Arabidopsis thaliana: one gene and its partners. Each later gene encodes a partner of the first gene's protein in a complex. Each region holds a gene or a part of one and is shown in the gene's direction. Other genes may lie near its edges. The genes, in order: NYC1, HCAR, ACD2 and PPH.

What was found.
Region 2: NYC1 (region 1) and HCAR share a complex: the UniProt entries of both Arabidopsis thaliana proteins name them as parts of the SGR1-CCE-LHCII complex.
Region 3: NYC1 (region 1) and ACD2 share a complex: the UniProt entries of both Arabidopsis thaliana proteins name them as parts of the SGR1-CCE-LHCII complex.
Region 4: NYC1 (region 1) and PPH share a complex: the UniProt entries of both Arabidopsis thaliana proteins name them as parts of the SGR1-CCE-LHCII complex.

The regions. Positions count from the first base shown.
Region 1 is NC_003075.7:7,683,733-7,688,829, reverse strand, and holds NYC1 (NAD(P)-binding Rossmann-fold superfamily protein), read left to right. Parts: upstream 1-1,823; 5' UTR 1,824-2,138; coding exon 2,139-2,429; intron 2,430-2,521; coding exon 2,522-2,600; intron 2,601-2,686; coding exon 2,687-2,822; intron 2,823-2,914; coding exon 2,915-2,989; intron 2,990-3,084; coding exon 3,085-3,280; intron 3,281-3,370; coding exon 3,371-3,439; intron 3,440-3,525; coding exon 3,526-3,665; intron 3,666-3,738; coding exon 3,739-3,861; intron 3,862-3,937; coding exon 3,938-4,130; intron 4,131-4,224; coding exon 4,225-4,413; 3' UTR 4,414-4,596; downstream 4,597-5,097. UniProt on the Arabidopsis thaliana protein: Involved in chlorophyll b degradation. Belongs to the chlorophyll catabolic enzymes (CCEs).
Region 2 is NC_003070.9:1,281,635-1,288,521, reverse strand, and holds HCAR (coenzyme F420 hydrogenase family / dehydrogenase, beta subunit family), read left to right. Parts: upstream 1-1,902; 5' UTR 1,903-2,029; coding exon 2,030-2,111; intron 2,112-2,520; coding exon 2,521-2,626; intron 2,627-2,718; coding exon 2,719-2,803; intron 2,804-2,894; coding exon 2,895-3,006; intron 3,007-3,152; coding exon 3,153-3,237; intron 3,238-3,341; coding exon 3,342-3,383; intron 3,384-3,517; coding exon 3,518-3,596; intron 3,597-3,680; coding exon 3,681-3,732; intron 3,733-3,831; coding exon 3,832-3,894; intron 3,895-4,068; coding exon 4,069-4,166; intron 4,167-4,243; coding exon 4,244-4,279; intron 4,280-4,359; coding exon 4,360-4,421; intron 4,422-4,525; coding exon 4,526-4,553; intron 4,554-4,648; coding exon 4,649-4,728; intron 4,729-4,813; coding exon 4,814-4,883; intron 4,884-4,981; coding exon 4,982-5,039; intron 5,040-5,199; coding exon 5,200-5,264; intron 5,265-5,359; coding exon 5,360-5,454; intron 5,455-5,562; coding exon 5,563-5,653; 3' UTR 5,654-6,359; and 1 more. Other genes in the region: AT1G04625 (Polynucleotidyl transferase, ribonuclease H-like superfamily protein), read left to right, coding at 1-290, 602-691. UniProt on the Arabidopsis thaliana protein: Probable iron-sulfur flavoprotein that converts 7-hydroxymethyl chlorophyll a to chlorophyll a using ferredoxin as a reducing equivalent. Catalyzes the reduction of a hydroxymethyl group to a methyl group. Belongs to the chlorophyll catabolic enzymes (CCEs).
Region 3 is NC_003075.7:17,440,869-17,444,815, forward strand, and holds ACD2 (accelerated cell death 2 (ACD2)), read left to right. Parts: upstream 1-1,743; 5' UTR 1,744-1,758; coding exon 1,759-2,100; intron 2,101-2,276; coding exon 2,277-2,894; 3' UTR 2,895-3,427; downstream 3,428-3,947. Other genes in the region: HSF4 (heat shock factor 4), read left to right, coding at 1-10, 203-838; CEN2 (centrin 2), read left to right, coding at 3,447-3,449, 3,544-3,673, 3,751-3,787, 3,876-3,903. UniProt on the Arabidopsis thaliana protein: Catalyzes the key reaction of chlorophyll catabolism, porphyrin macrocycle cleavage of pheophorbide a (pheide a) to a primary fluorescent catabolite (pFCC).
Region 4 is NC_003076.8:4,451,188-4,456,235, reverse strand, and holds PPH (pheophytinase), read left to right. Parts: upstream 1-1,527; 5' UTR 1,528-1,724; intron 1,725-1,875; 5' UTR 1,876-1,928; coding exon 1,929-1,988; intron 1,989-2,085; coding exon 2,086-2,721; intron 2,722-3,064; coding exon 3,065-3,291; intron 3,292-3,391; coding exon 3,392-3,583; intron 3,584-3,682; coding exon 3,683-3,839; coding exon of another isoform or gene 3,840-3,845; exon of another isoform or gene 3,846-3,921; coding exon 3,922-4,173; 3' UTR 4,174-4,501; downstream 4,502-5,048. Other genes in the region: AT5G13810 (Glutaredoxin family protein), read right to left, coding at 1-467. UniProt on the Arabidopsis thaliana protein: Alpha/beta hydrolase dephytylating specifically the Mg-free chlorophyll pigment (pheophytin), yielding pheophorbide. No activity on chlorophyll. Belongs to the chlorophyll catabolic enzymes (CCEs).

The DNA.
Region 1 (5,097 bases):
TCCCTAGACCAACTGCACCACACAACAACATAGATGTGTATCTTGCACCTATTATAGATGATCTAAATGGTGTGTGGAAAGAATGTATAGAGGTTTATGATTCTTATATGAAGGAGAATTGCACACTTAGAACTATATTGTTGTGGGCTATTAGTGATTATCTTGCCTTAGGAACACTGGTTAGATGTATGGTTAAAGGGAAATAGGAGTGTAACATATCTGGTAAGGACACACCAACATGCATGTTTTATTTTGCTTTAGTCAAATTTTGACAACACGACTACTGGAAGTGCACAGTTAATCGTCTGTAGTATAATGGGCTTTCTAAACCCATTCCAACTCTCATTTAGTATGATATTGTCCTCTTTGGGCTTATATGCTCAAGCCCGCAAGGATTTGTTATTGGGTTCCTTCCCAAAAGGTCTCATACTAGTTGGAGTTGGACTTGGCTTATATATTAGAAACTCTTTTTCTAAACTTTCGATGTGGGACCTTTGGTTTGTACCCAACAATCTCCCCTTCAAACCAAAGACCACGAACTTGGACCTCCTTCTTGAGGCACCTTCTTATCGTGTCATGTTTGAGAGATTTTCCCACATCGATCATAGCCCAAGCCCTAGGTCCAGTGTTTCAACCTGGCTCTGATACCATTTAATGGGCTTTCAAAGCCCATTCCAACTCTCATTTAGTATGATATTGTCCTCTTTGGGCTTATATGCTCAAGCCCACAAAGATTTGTTATTGGGTTCCTTCCCAAAAGGCCTCATACTAGTTGGAGTTGGACTTGGCTTATATATTAGAAACTCTTTTTCTAAACTTTCGATGTGGGACCTTTGGTTTGTATCCAACATAGTATTTATGGATCGAATTCCATTGGAAGAGAAGTAATTCAAACAAGTCTGTCAGAAGAGAGTAAAACTAGGACAAATCAATAAAAGAGGGGGAAAGGGTTGTTATTGTGTCACAGTTGTAAGTAAGTGAAGCAAGTAAATAGTAAGTGATCAATAAGAGACAAAAGTTGGACATTCAAGGGATCGTAGGGGTTCAATGATCTTCATGATCTAATCATGTTTATTTCCATGTTTTCGAGCATATAAAACACATAAAATTCAGCTACTGAGGAAAAATATATAAACGCATATATACATATGTACACGTCCACATACTTTCACGTTTAGGTTTTCGTTATTAGGGAAGTTGGACTTTTAATAGGTTTACTGATATTTGGGTCTCACGTAAAGCAGACCGGCTCTTTGGAGGTGCATGAGGCGCATTTGTTCTAGATCCAAATTTTTTTTGGTAAATTTAAGGATCTGATTAGTATGGAAAAGACCTACAATTTTTTTTTTTTTAGTATGAAAATGTCAATTTTAATGTGTTTTTAAAAAATTAGCATAAAAAGGGTCCAAATTTTTGTTTTATAGTTTAGAAAAAGATTAATTTTTAAAATTTGTACAGGGACTATAAATTTATTGAGTTGGTAGAGACAAAAAGCTTAAAGTTTACACAAAGGAGAAAATTATCATAAACACAAACATTATCAACTTTTCTTTGTTTGATATTAAATTTTTAATTTATAATTTTTTATTGTTCTAAAATAATATAAATAAGTAAGTGGTAGTTTGACAATAATCTCTATCATCTACTCAAATGTGACAATGGATACTACAATAATTTACTCAGGTACATAAGTAATGACGAAGTCTGAGTAAAATGTAATTTGAAATCAAATTTTGGCTTTCTAGAAGCAAAACTGAATCAAAATTTTGTTCATGTGAACCAAAATCTAAAGTAGCTCCCAAAGAGAGAAAAAAATATCTTGAAAACATGCGAAGGGACAAAAGAAACACAAAATGACACGTGTCAATGTTAGGCTAACGAGATGAGGTTGCTGTAACGTGTGGCCATCACACTTCTCTTCCTTCTTTCTTTCCCTCACCTCTTTCTTTCTTCGTCCTAATCTCCTTCTTCTTCCTCCGATCACTCTATTTAACGTCTTCGACGAATCCGAAGCTGAAAAATATCTAACAATCTATCTTTTGGGTCCCTAAAAAAGCTCCTTCGTTTATCTTGTTTTCTAAGTTATCTTTTTGTATGAGTTTCAAAGCTTATCATTATCTCACTCTTCTTCCATAGCTATGACTACTTTAACGAAGATTCAAGTGTACCCACAAGTCTTGGAGCACCGTCTCTTCTTCAGAGATCCGATACGGGTCGGGTCAAGATTGACTTGTAGAGAACGTAGTAATAGGGTTTATGTGCATCGGTGTGAGAAAAAAGTTGAAAGAAAGAGAAAAGTTGAGAAATTTAAGGGAAATGGGTCGTGGGATTCTTTGAAATCTGGGTTTTTAGGGTTTAGTAAATTAGGGTTCTTGTCTAAAGATGAGTATAATCAGAAAGTTGAAAACTTGGAGATGGTTTTCTCTTCGGTTAGTCTTAAAGTTTCCTCTTTTTTTCTTAATGAAATTTTCAATCTTTTTGCTTTGATTAGCTTAATTTTTATGTGTTTGTGATTTTGTAGGTTGCTGTTCAAATTGCGAGATACATTGTGACGATGACAAGTACTGGAGCTATTCTTTTGATTGGGTTTCAATTATCAGGTTAGTGCAAAAACTATTGTAGAAGAGTTTTTTTATTGGTAATTTTGTTTGACTGAGATTTTGAGTGTATGTATTTGTGATGAAAGGTGGAGATAGTTCGATGAACTCATTGGTTTGGTATAGTTGGCTTGGTGGAATTATCATTGGAACCATGACTGGTGCTAACATGGTTTTGGAAGATCATTATCGAGCCGGTCCACGGAATGTTGTTATAACCGGAAGGTACCTTCTTTACTTTTGTTTTTGCATTTTTTGATTTTTGTTTCTTTGTGTTTTGGTTTGATGCTGATGTATGTTTTTATGCTGTGTTTTAGCACTAGGGGACTAGGGAAAGCTCTTGCTAGAGAGTTTCTTCTCTCTGGAGACAGAGTCATTGTCACATCTCGCAGGTTGATAAATTGTATATATGGAATTATGGATTAGTTTTTATCAAGCAATGAAGTCTTAATATGATTTGTTTTTTGGTTTTTGTTTGTGAAATCAGTTCTGAATCTGTTGATATGACTGTCAAAGAGCTAGAGCAAAATCTCAAAGAGATTATGAGTAACGCTAGCGAGTCAGCTAGAAAGAAACTGAGTGATGCTAAGGTAGTTGGTATTGCCTGTGATGTTTGCAAACCCGAAGACGTTGAGAAGCTGTCGAATTTCGCTGTAAAAGAGCTTGGTTCCATCAACATATGGGTAAAGAAACATATTTCTTTTTGTACAGTTTGTAACTTTTTTTGTATCTTTAGTCATATGTTTGCTCACTGTCTATATTCATTTGGATAGATAAACAATGCTGGTACTAACAAAGGTTTTAGACCGCTACTCGAGTTCACGGAAGAAGATATCACACAGGTAAAATCCTTTTTGAACCTAAAGCTTAATTTCAGCTTGAGCTTATGGTGAAGTTCATTAGTCTAATTGTAACTATTATTTTGTAGATTGTCTCCACAAATTTGATTGGATCAATTCTATGTACACGAGGGGCTATGGATGTGATGAGCAGACAGCACAGTGGTGGACACATCTTTAACATGGATGGTGCTGGCTCTGGAGGTTCAAGTACTCCTCTCACTGCCGTGTAAGAACTCAAATCATTCGTTACTAGTCTCTAATGAATTAGAACACATTTCTGAGTCTGTGAGCTTTCGCAGATATGGTTCAACAAAATGTGGACTTAGGCAGTTTCATGGGTCTATAGTGAAAGAAAGCCAAAAAACAAACGTTGGCCTTCACACTGCATCCCCTGGCATGGTTCTGACAGAACTTCTTCTCAGGTATGCATACACTTTGTCACTAAGGCCTAGAACAGAATGCTCCGGAGTTTTATTGAAGCAACCATTTATTTGGCAGTGGTTCGAGCATTAAAAACAAGCAGATGTTTAACATAATCTGTGAGCTTCCTGAGACAGTAGCTAGAACTTTGGTACCACGAATGCGAGTTGTGAAAGGTTCGGGAAAAGCCGTCAATTACCTAACTCCTCCTCGGATATTGTTAGCTATTGTCACTTCCTGGCTAAGGAGAGGCCGATGGTTTGATGACCAAGTAAGTGTTACACTTGAGTTCTAGTTCAAGTTTTTTGACAAATCCTTCACTTGGTTAAGCCTGAGCTGACGCAAAGATGTGTACGTGTTTGCAGGGACGGGCGTTATATGCAGCAGAAGCAGATAGACTAAGGAACTGGGCAGAGAACAGGACGAGGTTGTCGTTAACAGACGCGATGGAGATGTATACAGAGAATACTTGGGTCTCTGTTTTCTCTCTTTCTGTTGTTTGCGCTTTCATCATCTTACAAAGCACAACACCTAGCTCTTTTCCAGGCACATAACAAACATCTTCCTCGGATGTGTTTTAAGAAAATTGTAAACGTACATGTTATGTATAAAAAACATATATATAACAGAACCGATTTGTTCATGTAAACACTTCTTATAGTTGTAGAATGTGTCGTTGTTGAAAACAATGAAAAAATAGATTGTAATAAACTTTTATCAGATTGTAGTATTTTCTAGTTTTCACTAGTTGGGCCTTTAAAGGCCCATTAAGCGGAGTTAAAAAAACACAGCTCCAATAACATTGCATCAATAAAAAAAGTGGAGGGCCATCAGATAGGAGCGAAAGACTGTGCTACTGAATAGTAATCATGGAGATCATTTGAACTATGCATTATTAATCATCACTTGACCCTTTTTTCCAAATAAACAAAAACAAACCAAAGATTGTTTGGCCTCATAGAGAAGATTAGATTTTATCAACAAGGATTAATTCAGACATATGCTTGTCTATTTTTTTGATTAAATCATTGGCCAAAAAAATCGATTAGAAGAAAGATTGAAAAACAAAAGTCAAAAAGTAGGACTCAGAATATGGGTGGTGATATAACAGAATGGTCGGCAAATAGGCTTTTTACGGCCGTTTTTACGACGAACGAGACCTTAAATATCAATCGTCACTGTCCGGAAGAAAAAAAAAAACAATTTTGTAATACGACAATAACAAAAGTAAGGGTTGG
Region 2 (6,887 bases), on another chromosome or scaffold:
TGGAAAGTGAACTCCAAGCTTTAGTCATGGCCATGCAACATTGTTGGAGTAGGGGCTATAGGAAAATTTACTTTGAAGGTGACAATAAAGAAGTCTCAGAGATTGTCAATGGTCGGTCTTCAAATTTTGCAGTTTTTAATTGGATAAGAGATATAAGCGCTTGGAGATCAAAATTTGAAGAATGCAAGTTTACTTGGACAAGGCGATTTTCAAACATGGCTGCAGATGCTCTGGCAAAACAACAACTTCCTTTGAACACTCAGTTTTATTGCTATAACTATATCCCGTTTGTAATAACTGATTTTTTACATCGCGACTTTGCTACAGCAAATTATTAATAAAGCTGATGTTTGAGGAAAAAAAAAAAAACTACAAGATCAAACCCTAGTTCCTCCGATGAAATTGCGGTTAGAAAACTAAATATTGATTGACCTAATTCAAAGAGACCTTTTTTGTGCAGAAACTAAATATTAAAAATCCAAGGTTCCAAGAGATCAAATAGGAATTTAAGCGAGAAGCAACATACCTGAGTCTCGTGACAACGGCGCGTGGTTTGCGTCAATACTTGGGACTCTCGGTGAGATCCGCCATGATTTGCTAGAGAGATCGTGAAACGCAAGAAAACAGAGAGACAAACGGTGGCGAGATCATTGATGGTGTGATCACCGAGTTACAGTTCCGACGGTTCTGACGGTGGTGAAAATGGATGGTGATCATCGAGCTTTGACGTTCTCGTGATCGGTGAGTTCTTTTTGTAAGAGAGGAACAGAAACAAACAGAGGCTAAAAAGACAAAAGAAGAAGAAGAAGGTGGATTTTTTGTTTTCTTCTCGTAATCCATGCTTTGGACCTTGTATCAGCCACTTATGATCATTTGCTATATTGATGCTTTCCAATTTTAGAGTATTGAAATGGGTTTCTTTGACAATCATTTTGAGTTAGTCATCATTCCTTGTTCTGAATCAAGAATTGGCTTTTGTTATGTTGTCTAGGTTCTGCTTGTAACTAGAGTAATGCTATTGTAGTCTCTGTTGTTTATTTGTAGAATCATAGAGAGTCGTGGAAGCATGTTTTAGTTGTTACTCTCGATTTCTTGTCGATGTTGTGGTGTTATAAATTGAGCGTTTTAACCAATACAAGTTAGGAGATGGTTAGTATGTGACTATGTGTTAGTGGCCATGTATGTAGTTCGATCAGATAATCTGAATGATGTGCTAAAGAGCTTGCATAGGAAGACTGCCTTTGTGTTAGCTTGCATAGAGACTTGTTGCAATATATGAGACTGAAAACTATTATGTGAAAACTTTAATTTGTGTACAAATATTTTTAACTCTTAAAATTAAACTAACATTGTACCAATTAGCACATGAAAGAAACACAGAATTCTGTGAACATATGATGAATAACTATATAAACACATTATGGATTCAGTTAAGGAGACAGAAACAAGAAGATGAATTTCAGATATATAGCAATAGAGTCACTTATAATCATATCAGAGCTTATACTTTATACAAATTATCACTTTAGTCCTTAAATTAAAACCGATTTAATCGACAATCTTGTTATTCTTTAAAACAATTTGTTCTTATTTTCAATCTTTAAATTTTGCAACAATCGACAGAACTTATCGTTATTCCGTGTTTTTATTTTCATATCTTTCTTAAAATGTTTCAAAATAATATATGTTTAATATTTTCTGATTTACAATAGTTATTAAGTTATATGAAATATAATTATTTTAAATTTTATTTTATTTTTCAGAAAACTCTTATAAGAGAGCTTACCATTAGAATATGAAAAAAAATTAAAACTCTCTTATAACTTTTTAAAAATTTTAATAATAAAAAAATGGAGAAAGCCCGTGAAAGAGCTCTTACGAACCAAAACCATTCAGTCCGGTTAAGAATTGGTTATCAAGTTTGGTTCCTAAAAGATATCCAAGTTCAAAAGCAAAAAAATATCTTCTTTTCTCTCTCTCTACTCTCTTCTCTTCTTCTCTTCTTCTCTTCTTCTCTGGCTGGGCAACCATGATTACTGTCGTCACCTCCAGGCTCTCTCTCCTTCCTCCAGTCTTCTCCGTCGTTAACTCTTCTTCTTCGCGTTCCAAAGGTGCTCAATTTATTTCTGCCACGTCTTCTCTTTATAGCACTCTGTTTTACACACGTCGTTGATTCTTCAGTTTTTTAAAAGACCCGTCTTATACAAAATTTCAGTGTAACCGATCCCTGAAATTCGTTAAAGGGATGAAATTTTATCTAAGATTCGGAGTTTTCTTTTCGAACATAGTGGTAATGTTTGTCGAATGCTTGATTTGGTCTTCCACAGCTGTCACTATCGAGTTTGAAGATAGAAATCTTGTGTTAACTTAGTATGTATTACTGCATAATGTCAATTCTGTTTGAAAGCATCAGAATTTCGGAACAGATTTTTGTTTCGTATAGCATCGATCTTTGTCTTGTGTGTTTTTATCTTCTCTCTGAAGCCTGCATGAACCCTTCTCTTATGGCTTTAATTGCAGATATGAATCTAGAGCCAAAAAAGAAGGTTAAATTAAGAGAAGACTGGAGAGAAAAGTCCAGACCTATCCCACCCGGAGGAACCTATCCAGCTAAAGACCATTGCAGGTTTTTTCTTTCTTTTTTGTTTGTTTGTTTGTTTACCTCACTATTTTTGTCTCATTCTTATCAAGATCCTTGGTGTTCTGATGGGTTTGCAGTCAGTGCGGGCTATGCGACACCTACTACATTGCCCATGTGAAGGAGGCATGTGCATTTCTTGGAGATGGAATGTCAAGGATTGAGGTAATGTCCATATAAATGGATAAGATTTGATACTCTTTTTAATTGATGGGCTAAGATTCTTATTTTGTTAATATTTTAAGTTCTTGTGCAGAGCTTGGAACCTGTTGTGCATGGTAGAGGAAGGAAAGCAGATTCCTTACAAGATACATATTTTGGGGTGCATCAAGAGCAGCTCTATGCTCGTAAGTTGAAGCCTGTCGAAGGTAAATAGACACTTCCCTTCCACTGTTCCACATTTTCTACTAACTTCTTTTCCTGGCTCAATCTAAGCTAGGGCACTTTTGTGTCTCGTTCAAGATGAATTTAGCTTAGCTTTGTTGTTTACTTTTCATTCTATTTTCGGTTGCAGGAGCTCAGTGGACTGGAATTGTCACAACCATAGCCATTGAGATGCTGAAATCTAATATGGTTGAAGCTGTCGTTTGTGTGCAGAGGTAAAACTACTGTTGAATTTCAGAAATGGACTAGGCTTACATTTATCGACCATGCTGTAGATTTTTCCATCTATCCATGTAACTGATTTATTGAAATATTACAGTGATCCTGAAGACAGATTATCTCCAAGACCAGTATTAGCCAGGTTTTCCACCTTCCTAATGTGGTTTATTTTGAGTCCATTCTTCTTCAAGTCGCCATTTTTTAGATGTGGATCCATATTTTGCTGTTACTCTGGATATAGAAGCGTATTGATGTTTCATTTCTTTTCATTCTAAGGACACCTGAAGAAGTTTTGGCTGCAAGAGGTGTCAAGCCAACTCTGTCTCCTAATCTGAATACTCTTGAATTAATCGAGGTTATTTGCCAAACCCTTATTTCTTGTTTGTGTTTTCAATCACTGAATCCATTTCACATGAACTTAGAATTTGTATTGTAACAGGCTTCCGGAGTGAAGCGTCTTCTGTTTTGCGGTGTGGGTTGCCAAGTGCAAGGTATGGGCTCAACATACTTTTTTGTGGACGTATATTTCAAGTTTCTCCATATCGTGACTCTCATAGTATTGTAATGCAGAGTGATTTCTTATACTGCAGCATTGAGATCAGTGGAGCAGCATCTGAATCTGGAAAAGTTGTATGTACTAGGCACCAATTGTGGTATTTTCCTCATCCTATCTAGATTTGTTTTTTCTCCAGAACTTTCACAACTAGTTCTTGTGTTGTACTTTTGAACATTCCATGTTGTATATGTTATTTCGGAGTCTTGTATGCTTAGGTCTAGAAATGCTTATACATTTTTAAACAAGTAAAAAGAACATCTTTGATTAATAGTGGACAACGGAACACGAGATGGACTAGACAAGTTTCTGAAAGCAGCTAGTAAAGAGCCAGAGACTGTTCTCCATTATGAATTTATGCAAGATTACAAGGTTAGCATTAATACAAAACCATCACTTATCTGTGCATTTTCTTTGGTGATGCCAATCTTGTTCAATTTCTCTTATAGGTCCAACTCAAACACTTGGATGGACACATTGAAGAGGTAAATTCGCTTAAAATACTGTGTTGCTCTGCAATTGCAGCTGAAAGCCGTTTTTAAAAAACTTTTTTTGGCTAAAGCAGGTTCCCTATTTCTCTCTACCTGCAAACGATTTAGTAGATGTCATAGCTCCATCGTGTTACAGGTAATACAAGTCTCTGCATTGTCTCTATACCTTGAAATAGATAACCTGTCGGAAATTTTTAAAACTTGTCTACAATTACAAACCCTATCTTTTTTATTCTGCAGCTGCTTTGATTACACAAATGCATTAGCGGTGAGTGTTTCTCTAGCAATTAAGATGTCTTTTCACTTAATTTTGATTCTGCCAATTTCAAACATTTCCTGATATGTATGAGCTTGTTTATCTAGGATTTGGTTATCGGTTACATGGGTGTTCCGAAGTATTCAGGTCTGAACATGACTGACCATCCACAGTATATTACAGTGAGGTCAATATTTCTACGTATTTTGACATGGACCATATAGGTTCTCGTGGTTGGATAAAATTAGTTTTGTTTATGCCTTAAACCACAGAAATGAACGTGGGAAAGAAATGCTCAGCTTGGTAGAAAACCTTTTGGAGATCACTCCAACAATCAGCAGCGTAAAGTTTCTAACATTTATATTTGTTGTTATATTTAAGACTTTAAGAGTCCACTTAACAAATAACATGAACAAACACACCTTTTGTTGTTGTTTCAGGGTGATCGGCGACCTTTTGTGACAGAAACTGTTAAGGCAGACGATGCTGCTAAGTTTGGTATGTTTTCAAACGTATTCGAAACTCTTTTGTTTCTTGAATCGTCTCTGCTTAAAGACATTCAGTTTCAAGCAAAGCTAGATGCCAAAAAGAAAGTTCTCAGCAAATGCATGCAACTAACATTGTGCTAAAGTCTTCTAACTAGTCTATAATTTCTTAGGTCAAGGTCCTGCTCAGCCAGCGCCACTATTTGTTGGAAACATTATTGCGTTCATCCTAAATTTGGTAAGATTATTTCCTTATGAACACAAACCGAGAAACAAGCTCATTGCATAAAAAGTCAAAGAGTTTCTTAACTTGCAAAACCATTCTTGCTTCAGGTTGGTCCTAAGGGTCTAGAATTTGCTCGGTACTCGTTGGACTACCATACCATCAGAAACTATTTGTACGTAAACCGCAAATGGGGAAAGCAAAGGTAAGATCTGAAACACACTCCTAGAGATAAAAGTTTATTGCGATCAACTGTGTATTTCTATACTATTGGATCGTTCTCTAATGACCAAAGCTGCATTACCATCTACAGAGCAAACACCCACATGCCATCATATGCCAAAAAGATAGTGGAAATGTACAACAAAAACGGCCAAATAGATAAAATGCTCTCCAAGAAATGAACATTTTAGGCCTTTCTCATGTAAGTTTCCAAATGTATATTTCATCCTACAAGTGAGTAAATGTACATTGGTCCTACTGTTTCTCAACTTGTAGTATGTTAGTAATATCCAAAACTATTTCCCTCGTGAATTTGGTAAGACACCGGCAAGAAAAGATGGGTCGGTTTGGTGTTTTTTGGCAGAGAACAGAGAATAAGAAACAGTCTAAATCAGCGGCTGAATCCAAATCAACCCATGTGGGTTCCTTCCTCCATATCTTTAGGTTAAGGTGATGTCCGAGTAAAAGGTTGCAGGGTTTTGCATGAGAACATGAATAACTGTTTTAAGAGGATGGGAACCAGACATTTACACAGTTGGGGGGAATTAGCTTTTAATGTCTTTTTTTTGCTTGGACAAAGAAGAAGGAACCATGGTTAAGCTTCACTCGCTCGCTCACTCACTCACTCACTCACTAACTTACTCATCACCATATTTCACACATTGGAAACTTCAAATTTTACTCTCTCTCTTTTTTTCTTTTTTTGTCTTTTTGTTAGTCAAGTCTCTGCTCTGCTCGTTCAATGACTTTGCTGCAGAGACTCTCAGACCTCAAGTGAAACTCATAAATGTCTCTGCTCTTTTGCACCATAGTTGATTTTTTCTCACCAGAGGCATTGTCCTAATACAGAGCATGTAAACGTTTTTTCTAATAATATATTTAAGTGAAATAAAGCTTACTTTGGTACCTTGAATTAATTTTGAGTTGCAATTTGACATATAACAATGTTAGAGAATTCATTTACGTATTGCATATTTTGGATCTGTATCTGTATCTGTTTCAGTATATATATATTTATAACTAGATCCAACATCATATATAATATATGATTTCACTCAAGTTTTTCTGAGAAAGTTGTATAATGTTATATTTATTATCCATCTGTGTTTCAAATTAGATACATTGTTCATCCCTAATGGATTTTGCATATCCTACAGAAATGCATGTTTCAGTATTTTCAACTTGTGTTCCCTGGAGGTTGTAATCCATGAAACAACTTTAATATGGACTGTCCAAGACAATCATGTGTAAATCAATCATTTGCCAAATATAATGATTACAAAATGGCTAATAATTCCTTAATCAGTTAAATAACAGCTCTAACTTGTGAGAGTATTCTTCCAATAATGAAACAGCATGAAATTAGTTGTTTCTTTTCCTGATCAACAACATCATCATAGAGATAACACAACATGC
Region 3 (3,947 bases), 9.8 Mb from region 1:
CAACACTTACGTGAGTTTCACTCTAACGAAAACTCATTTACTCTCAATTTAATGCTTCATTTAATTCGTTTGGTGAATTGAATCATTCTTTTGTAGTTGGTTAGCCAATTTCGTAATTTTCTCATAATTTGGGGGTTGGTGAGAAAACCTTCTAGAAGCTGAGAATGTTCTTGTTCTTTTTTTTTTTTTTTTTTTGGTTTAGGGATTTCGTAAAACTGTACCGGATAAATGGGAATTTGCAAACGATTATTTCCGGAGAGGCGGGGAGGATCTGTTGACGGACATACGACGGCGTAAATCGGTGATTGCTTCAACGGCGGGGAAATGTGTTGTTGTTGGTTCGCCTTCTGAGTCTAATTCTGGTGGTGGTGATGATCACGGTTCAAGCTCCACGTCATCACCCGGTTCGTCGAAGAATCCTGGTTCGGTGGAGAACATGGTTGCTGATTTATCAGGAGAGAACGAGAAGCTTAAACGTGAAAACAATAACTTGAGCTCGGAGCTCGCGGCGGCGAAGAAGCAGCGCGATGAGCTAGTGACGTTCTTGACGGGTCATCTGAAAGTAAGACCGGAACAAATCGATAAAATGATCAAAGGAGGGAAATTTAAACCGGTGGAGTCTGACGAAGAGAGTGAGTGCGAAGGTTGCGACGGCGGCGGAGGAGCAGAGGAGGGGGTAGGTGAAGGATTGAAATTGTTTGGGGTGTGGTTGAAAGGAGAGAGAAAAAAGAGGGACCGGGATGAAAAGAATTATGTGGTGAGTGGGTCCCGTATGACGGAAATAAAGAACGTGGACTTTCACGCGCCGTTGTGGAAAAGCAGCAAAGTCTGCAACTAAAAAAAGAGTAGAAGACTGTTCAAACCAGCGTGTGACACGTCATCGACGACGACGAAAAAAATGATTTAAAAAACTATTTTTTTCCGTAAGGAAGAAAAGTTATTTTTATGTTTTAAAAAGGTGAAGAAGGTCCAGAAGGATCAACGCAAATATATAAATGGATTTTCATGTATTATATAATTTAATTAGTGTATTAAGAAAATAAAACAGATGTTGAAGTTTTATTGTTGCTTAATTTATGTCTTCATAATGTAAAAAAGCATGTGAAATACTTGGTCTAAGGTCATCTACTTAGTTGAAAACTTGTGAAAGAGGAAGAAATTTTACTTTTATGTTTGATTGATTTTCTTTGCAAGTAGTAGTAGGTGGTTTCCGTGTTTTTACGTAATCCGTTGAATATTTTTCCCTCGAAATTGTCTTTATAAAAGTCACAGAAACATTTTCTAGAACTCTTTATCAGGAAAATAAAAATAAAGATGTCTTCAAGGAATCGAAAAAATACAGCAATATACTAAATAGAAAATGCTATGAAATTAAATAAAAATTTAGTAAGGTTCCAAAGACACTACTTAACTAGAGAGAAAAATAATTCCAACTAGCTCTACAACAAACAAATCATTTACTTGTTTAAGAATCGAAAAATTTAGAAATTTATTCTTATTATTTGTTTGCCCAATTAAGTCGCTCTTGGCCCAATACTTGCATCACTTGATTGAGTAGAAGAAGATCACTTACCAACTCTCAAACCATTTAAAAATTAAAAAGCATAGTTTATTTTATTTAAATATGTGTATGTAATAATTCACCACAAGAAATATATTACAAACCACAAAACTATAATCCCGGTAAAATAGTAATTAATTTCTTCAAAAGTGTAAATAAAAAAGAAGAGACATAATTTAGTCATAGCCACATAAAAAATGGCGATGATATTTTGCAACACTCTCTACTCTTCTTCTTCTCCATCATATCTCTCGCCGTTAACTTCAAAACCGTCGCGATTCTCAAAGAATCTCAGACCTCGAGCTCAATTCCAGTCCATGGAAGACCACGACGATCACCTCCGCCGAAAATTTATGGAGTTCCCGTATGTGTCACCCACGCGGAAGCAGCTCATGGTTGATCTCATGTCGACGGTGGAGAATCGCCTCCAATCACAACTCCTTCCCTGTAACCTCCCTCCAGATGTACGAAACTTCAATAACCCTAACGGTTCCGCCGAAGCATCTCTTCATATCAGATCCGGCGACAAATCTTCTCCGGTACTTGCGACGATTAACTCTGTTTTTCAGTTATGAGATCGAAATTGACTGTTTTGCATGCTTGTTTTAGAGCTCAATTGCTTGATTTTAAGTAGAAACAGACTTCAATTTCGATGTAAATCATAACCCTAAAAAAAAACTTTTTAGAGAATCTTAAAGTTTGTTTTGTTTTGCAGATTGATTTTGTTATAGGAAGTTGGATACATTGCAAGATCCCAACAGGAGTATCTTTGAATATAACAAGCATCTCTGGATTCTTAAACTCATCAACAAAAGCTCCAAACTTTGTGGTCGAACTAATACAGAGCAGTTCCAAGTCGCTTGTGCTAATCCTTGACCTCCCACATCGTAAAGATCTTGTTCTTAACCCGGATTATCTCAAGGAGTATTACCAAGACACTGCTCTTGATTCTCATCGACAATCTCTCCTTAAGCTACCTGAAGTTAACCCTTATGTGTCTCCTTCTCTCTTTGTCCGTTCTGCTTTCTCTCCTACTGCTTCGATGCTTAAGATTGATGCGGAGGAAGAGGATAAGTTGGAGGAGATATTGAGAGATCATGTTAGTCCAGCTGCTAAGGAGGTTCTCGAGGTTTGGTTGGAGCGGTGTGTGAAGGAAGAAGAAGAGAAGATTGTGGTTGGGGAAGAAGAGAGAATGGAGTTGGAGAGAAGAGATAAAAGCTTTAGAAGGAAGAGCATAGAGGACGATTTGGATTTGCAGTTTCCGAGAATGTTTGGTGAAGAAGTTTCCTCCCGTGTTGTACACGCTATTAAAGAAGCTTTCGGTGTTCTCTAGATTATGTAACTATATATATACATCAGTTAATGTTCATTGTACTAAACATTTACTTTCATCAATGTCACAAGAACGCAAGATGACCATCAAACAAGTCCTGTTTTCTCCTAAGAACGTCTTTGTTGTGAATCATCTCTGAATCGGATTCCTTCTGATTCATTTTAATACTATGGGATTGTAAATTTATCAATCAAGTTTCTAATTTATCTGTAAAAAAAAGTCTTGAATTATTGTTTTTCTCATGGATTTTAAAGTTTTTTTTTCACTATTTTACATGGATGTTTTGTTAAATTTCTCGTTCTCTAGATCATGTCATTTTACATTAGCAAAACCAATATAATATATAGATTAATATTAACGAAGGAACATAAACGTGCAAAACTAAAAGTTTTAAAGCTAAATCGCTTTCAAAAGAGTTAGTAACCAGACAAAAAAGAGACAGATCATCGGCAACTAATCTCGTCATCGCATGCATCATAAACCAAATTAACTAAATCATCCATTTAATCCATTTGTTCTTATCAGATCATCCTTTTCCTTCCTACACAAGAAATGGTTAGTGTTTTCTTTTCTCGATTGTCTCTTAGTTTAGATTCTTTATCCGACTACTTTGTTCATCGGTTTTGTTTTTCTTTTTGTCTTCCGGAAGGCGAATTACATGTCGGAAGCAGCACAGCTCAGAAGAGGTCTAAAGCCTAAAGGGAAGACTTATGGGTTGACCAATCAGAAGAGACGAGAGATCAGAGAGATCTTTGATCTTTTCGACATAGACGGTTCAGGTAAACTATTAAACCGATTCTTTATCCGATTTACAAAGTTATTGCTCACATGATTTAGTGCATCATTTCATATGTAGGTAGCATCGATGCTAGCGAGCTCAACGTTGCTATGAGGTCAACGGCAATTTTTCTTTCTTTTTCAAAGTTATTTTCTTCAAGTTCTAGTTAAGTATAGTACTAAAAAATTATCAGCTGATTACAGGTCTCTTGGATTTGAGATGAATAATCAGGTTTGTTTGTTTTCCTTCCTTTTTTCTTCTTTGTTTTAATTTCA
Region 4 (5,048 bases), on another chromosome or scaffold:
AACCCTCTAAATATCATTCTGACAGCATAGCAATCCTCATACGTCCGTCTAATCCCTCTCAAGCTAGTAAAATACACCACAATCCTGTCCTCTGTCCCGGGAAGACGGATGACCGAGTTGTTTAAGCTCGAAAAAGGCGATATCCGCGATTCGGGTAAAAGGGATTTACCGGATTTCTGCTTCTGAGGAATCTCAGCTAAGGCAGGTTTAACGGGTTTGGAAGTCTCGAATAATCTACAAAGGTTTTTGACTTTGCCTTTAAGAGAAGTTCCCATCGATTCTACGGGGGTGTAGAATTTGGTAATGGAGGTGGTACGATTGAGAGAAGGATTGAGATTGTGGGATTTGGGGCCCGAATCCACCACTGTTCTTCCGTGAATTGTAAGCGACCTGTTGAAGAACGACGTCGTTGTAGCCGATTTCGTCGTCTTCCCTGAGAAATCAGCGTTTTTCTCTAATCCCGCCATCGAAATTAGATCAAAGAAGCACCCCTTTCGACGGCTAATTTGGTGTAAAACCTAAAATAGTCAACAAAATCAAAACCCTAGGATCAAATTCAAGCAAATTGACGAATACAGAAAGAGAAATTGAAAAACATAAATTGAATAATCGTCGATCACCTCCCAAGGAAGAAATGGAAATTGGAATGATTGGAAAAGAATCAGCTTCTCTGATTTGAGTCGTAAAACGATCGGGTGCTGCGTTTTTGAGCTGATGAATTCTCACCTAAGATTAAAGAAGACGAGATTGATGAAAGAATGATCTGATTTTTCTGGAAATTTGGGGGTTTGTTTGTGTTTTGGAAGAAGATGTGGAGGAGAGCTCCGAATTAGCCTTTTGTCTGTCTGCCTTTGTTGCAAAGCAAAGAATTTTTCTGTTTTTTTTTTAAAGATATAATTATTATGTCTAAGTTATTAAAGGCTCTTTAATGATATATTTACTCGATGCTCCTTCGAGGAAAAACGAATTTGAAAAAATAACAAAAGTGGGATTAAATTGCGAGGAAAAGTCGTTTACTGGTAAAACGCGGTTGTCTTATTAAGAAAGGTTATGGTTACAGCGAAACCAGTTTCTACGGTCGGTTTATTGCTATTGATTCTACGCTCGGTTTAGAGATAGTTGTCTGTATTCTAATTGAAGAGTAGTGTATTTCGCTTTCTAGTCTTCGACCATTAGGATTTTTAGTTCACACAAGATCAATTCTCTAACATTTAAAATCAACTAGAAAACTCAAATAACACCGTTAAAATAGTGATTAAACCATTCAAAAATTAAACGGGTTTTATATTGTTTGATATGAAAACTGCAGGTTTTTCGATTGTTTTTTTTGTTTTCCGATTGTTACACAATGGAAAAGAAGATCAAAAATCAATTGTTTTTAAAAAAAATATTATTCTGTCATATTTTTGCAACAAACATGTGTTTTTGCAATGTTACATCGGTGTCAAATTAGCAATGTCAGATCCAAAACAAAATGTCATATTGTGAAAAAAATAACCCTACACTTAATAATACAGTATGAATTTTGGATCCTTTAAGAAAAAATAAAAACTCGATAAAAACGTTGCTGTCGGTTTGCACCGAACGATTGAAGTTAACCAAGCCAGCAAGCAACCCAATTCTTCTATTTCTTCTTCACCTTTAGATTTTTCCTCGCTTAATTTCTCAATAACGCTCTCAGAGAGACCATTTGATGAAGCTTCTCGCTTCTGGAATTTGAAAAGGTACAAGTTGCAACTCTCTCTTTTCTTTCTTTTCTTCCTGGGTTTATTATATAGCTGGAGTTCTTTGTCGATGAATCGGGTGGTGTTGTTGTTGTTTGGTTTCAATTTGATAGAAGATTGGCTTGACCTTGATTTGCTTTGTTTTGATTAGGATTTGATAAGACGAGTTCATAGAAGATTACCGCAAGTTCATCAACTTTTTGTATGTGGTTTCAGCTTTTGAAGCAAAATTCTGATAACTATACAAAGATTCCAGCTTCATATGTGATTTTCCTTGTTATTCTTAGCTTTGCTATGAAGTTGAGATATATGAGTGGAAAATTCGTATTAAAGGATATGCCTTTTGGTTGTTCATTTGCAGGAACTTGTTATGGAGATAATCTCACTGAACGTTGTGCCCCAGTGCTCTGTGGTTACTTGGAGTAGTAAATTAGCAACGAAAAGATTGGTCCCAAATCGGTCAAGTTTGTTATTCTCAGGGGTCAAAAAATCCAGACTTGTGATTCGAAGTGGAAATTCCGATGGTTATGTTGTTGGTGAGAATGATGACTTGGGTCGTATAGCCAGAAGAGGAGAATCAACGTCAAAGGTTTTGATTCCTGGTTTGCCTGATGAATCAAATGGTGAAATTGCTGCTCGAATCAGTCATTCTCACTGCGAGTGGAAGCCCAAGCTTAGAGTACATTATGAGAAAGCCGGTTGTGACAATCTCGATGCTCCTGCGGTGTTGTTTCTTCCTGGCTTTGGCGTTGGTTCATTTCACTATGAGAAGCAGCTTACCGATTTGGGAAGGGATTATCGAGTATGGGCTATTGATTTTCTTGGACAGGGTTTATCTCTCCCTACTGAAGATCCTACTACCATGACTGAAGAAACCAGTTCCTCGGAAGATAAGGAACCATTTTGGGGATTTGGTGACAAAACTGAACCGTGGGCTGATCAACTTGTATTCTCTCTGGATCTCTGGAGGGATCAAGTTCAGTATTTTGTAGAAGAGGTTAGCAATATCTGAGTTCAGTTGTTCTATTACTCTTTAAGCTGTTGATTTTGTTCTTTTAGTCGTAATTTCAAAAGCAGTGTGTTAGCTTTTTTTTTTTAGTGTAGATTGTTGCTATGTGTCGTATACTCATGGATTTCAATAGTTTTCAGCTCAGAACCTGAAAGTGTGGGTATGGAGTCTTCTGGTGTTGCTTTGGGAATGGGAAAGTTTAGGATGCACTAGATATTAGAATTCATCTCTGTTCTTTGATTCCGTTTGTGTTCTAGTTTGAGATCACGATCTTTTTCATCTGAAATAAGCTGCTGAGTCGGTAAGAGTATGTGGTATTTGTGTTGTACAGGTTATCGGTGAGCCTGTGTACATTGCAGGGAACTCACTTGGAGGGTATGTAGCTCTCTACTTTGCAGCAACCCATCCTCACCTGGTTAAGGGTGTTACCTTGCTTAATGCAACACCTTTCTGGGGTTTCTTCCCTAATCCAGTAAGATCCCCAAAGCTAGCACGTCTCTTTCCATGGCCCGGAGCATTCCCTCTGCCGGAAAGAGTGAAAAAAATCACAGAATTGGTGTAAGGGAGACTTTATTAACACATCTCCTCACCTGAAAAGTATCATTTTCTATTTCTATCTCTATCAGTCTAATATCTTTACTTCCCAATGAAACTGCAGGTGGCAAAAGATAAGTGATCCTGAAAGCATAGCTGAGATACTTAAACAGGTCTACACAGACCATTCTATCAATGTGGATAAAGTATTCTCACGTATTGTGGAGGTCACACAGCATCCGGCTGCTGCAGCATCGTTTGCTTCAATCATGCTTGCTCCTGGTGGAGAGCTATCTTTCTCCGAAGCTTTATCTAGGTATAAGACAGTGTGGTTTCTTGTTTTTATATGTTTTTTACTCTGCGTGATTGGTGTTATTGCTTATGAGGAATGCTGCTATTTGATGGTTTATGCTAGGTGTAAGGAAAACAATGTTCAGATATGTCTCATGTATGGAAGAGAAGATCCATGGGTGAGACCGTTATGGGGAAAGAAGATAAAGAAGGAAATCCCCAACGCTCCATACTACGAGATCAGCCCAGCGGGTCACTGCCCACACGATGAAGTCCCTGAGGTATAATGAACTAGTCAATAAATTCTTCAAACTCTGCAATTAGGTATAATGAACCCACCATTTGGGATATGAAAACGAGCAGGTGGTGAACTATCTGATGCGCGGGTGGATCAAGCACCTGGAGTCTGGTGGTTTTGAAGCGCTCCCGCTTTTGGAGGACACTGAAGAAGATTGGGAGGAGTCCAGGATTGGTAGAGAAATTGAGTTCCCGAGAGATGGTTGGAAAAAAGCAGTGAATCTGTGGTTATATGGGTCAAACTATACGTACTGGAGAGGAGTTAGAGAATCTTTCAGATCCAGTTTTATAAGGGTGTTTGGAGGGAAGTCTGCATAGAAGAAGCATGGAACAGTCGTCTAGTGTAAATTAATTGTAATCTATGTTGCATCCGATGCTAGCTATATAATGTTGTCTGTAGAATCAAGTTTCTAAAATGTTCAAAAGGAAAAGTTAGAAAAATATCTACTTGATAGTTAGTCACCTAAATCGAAGGAACTCCTTTCTTGCATTGTTGTATATAATCCACAGGTTCAGATTAATATAGGAAGGCGACATTGCAGGCCATATGAGTTGTCTTAAAAATTGGAAGAGAGCTTGAAATTACTCTGATTCCAAAAGAAGAAAGTGAGTGTATTTGAATTGTTAATAATTTCCAAAGGTGAACAGTTTTATTGAACATGTATGGTGTTTGAAAAGACGTATCATTGGTTACTTTTCTCGAGGCAAAGTCGTATCCTTGACCATATTCTTCCCTTAGCTTGAATCTCATTTTTGTCAGTTCCACGGTCAACAAATAAGGGACTGAATTAGAAGGCTATCCAAACCACTTTTGAGAAACTTACTTACACAGGCTATATATCCAACATGAGATTTGGTCTGCTTCTTTTCTTAATTTGTTTCTTAGTCTCTGATAAAATCTCGTTATCTATTTATTGATTTGAGTGTCAAAAAAAAAAAACCGGTGTTACAAAGCTGCTACTAAAGTGTCGTTCTACACTAGTTGTAAGAAATTACTTCTCAGTATGTTTTTTTATCTCTCACTAGTTGATAACATAATGGTAACCATCAAACAATGCTAGTTGTTGCAATTTTATTCTTGGGGGTACTTTGAAATTGTTTCTAATTGTTGCTCTGAACTTTTTTTTATTTTTATGTCGGTCAACATTGTTGGTCTGATTTATGTCTTACAACAACATTAAAGAGAAAATACA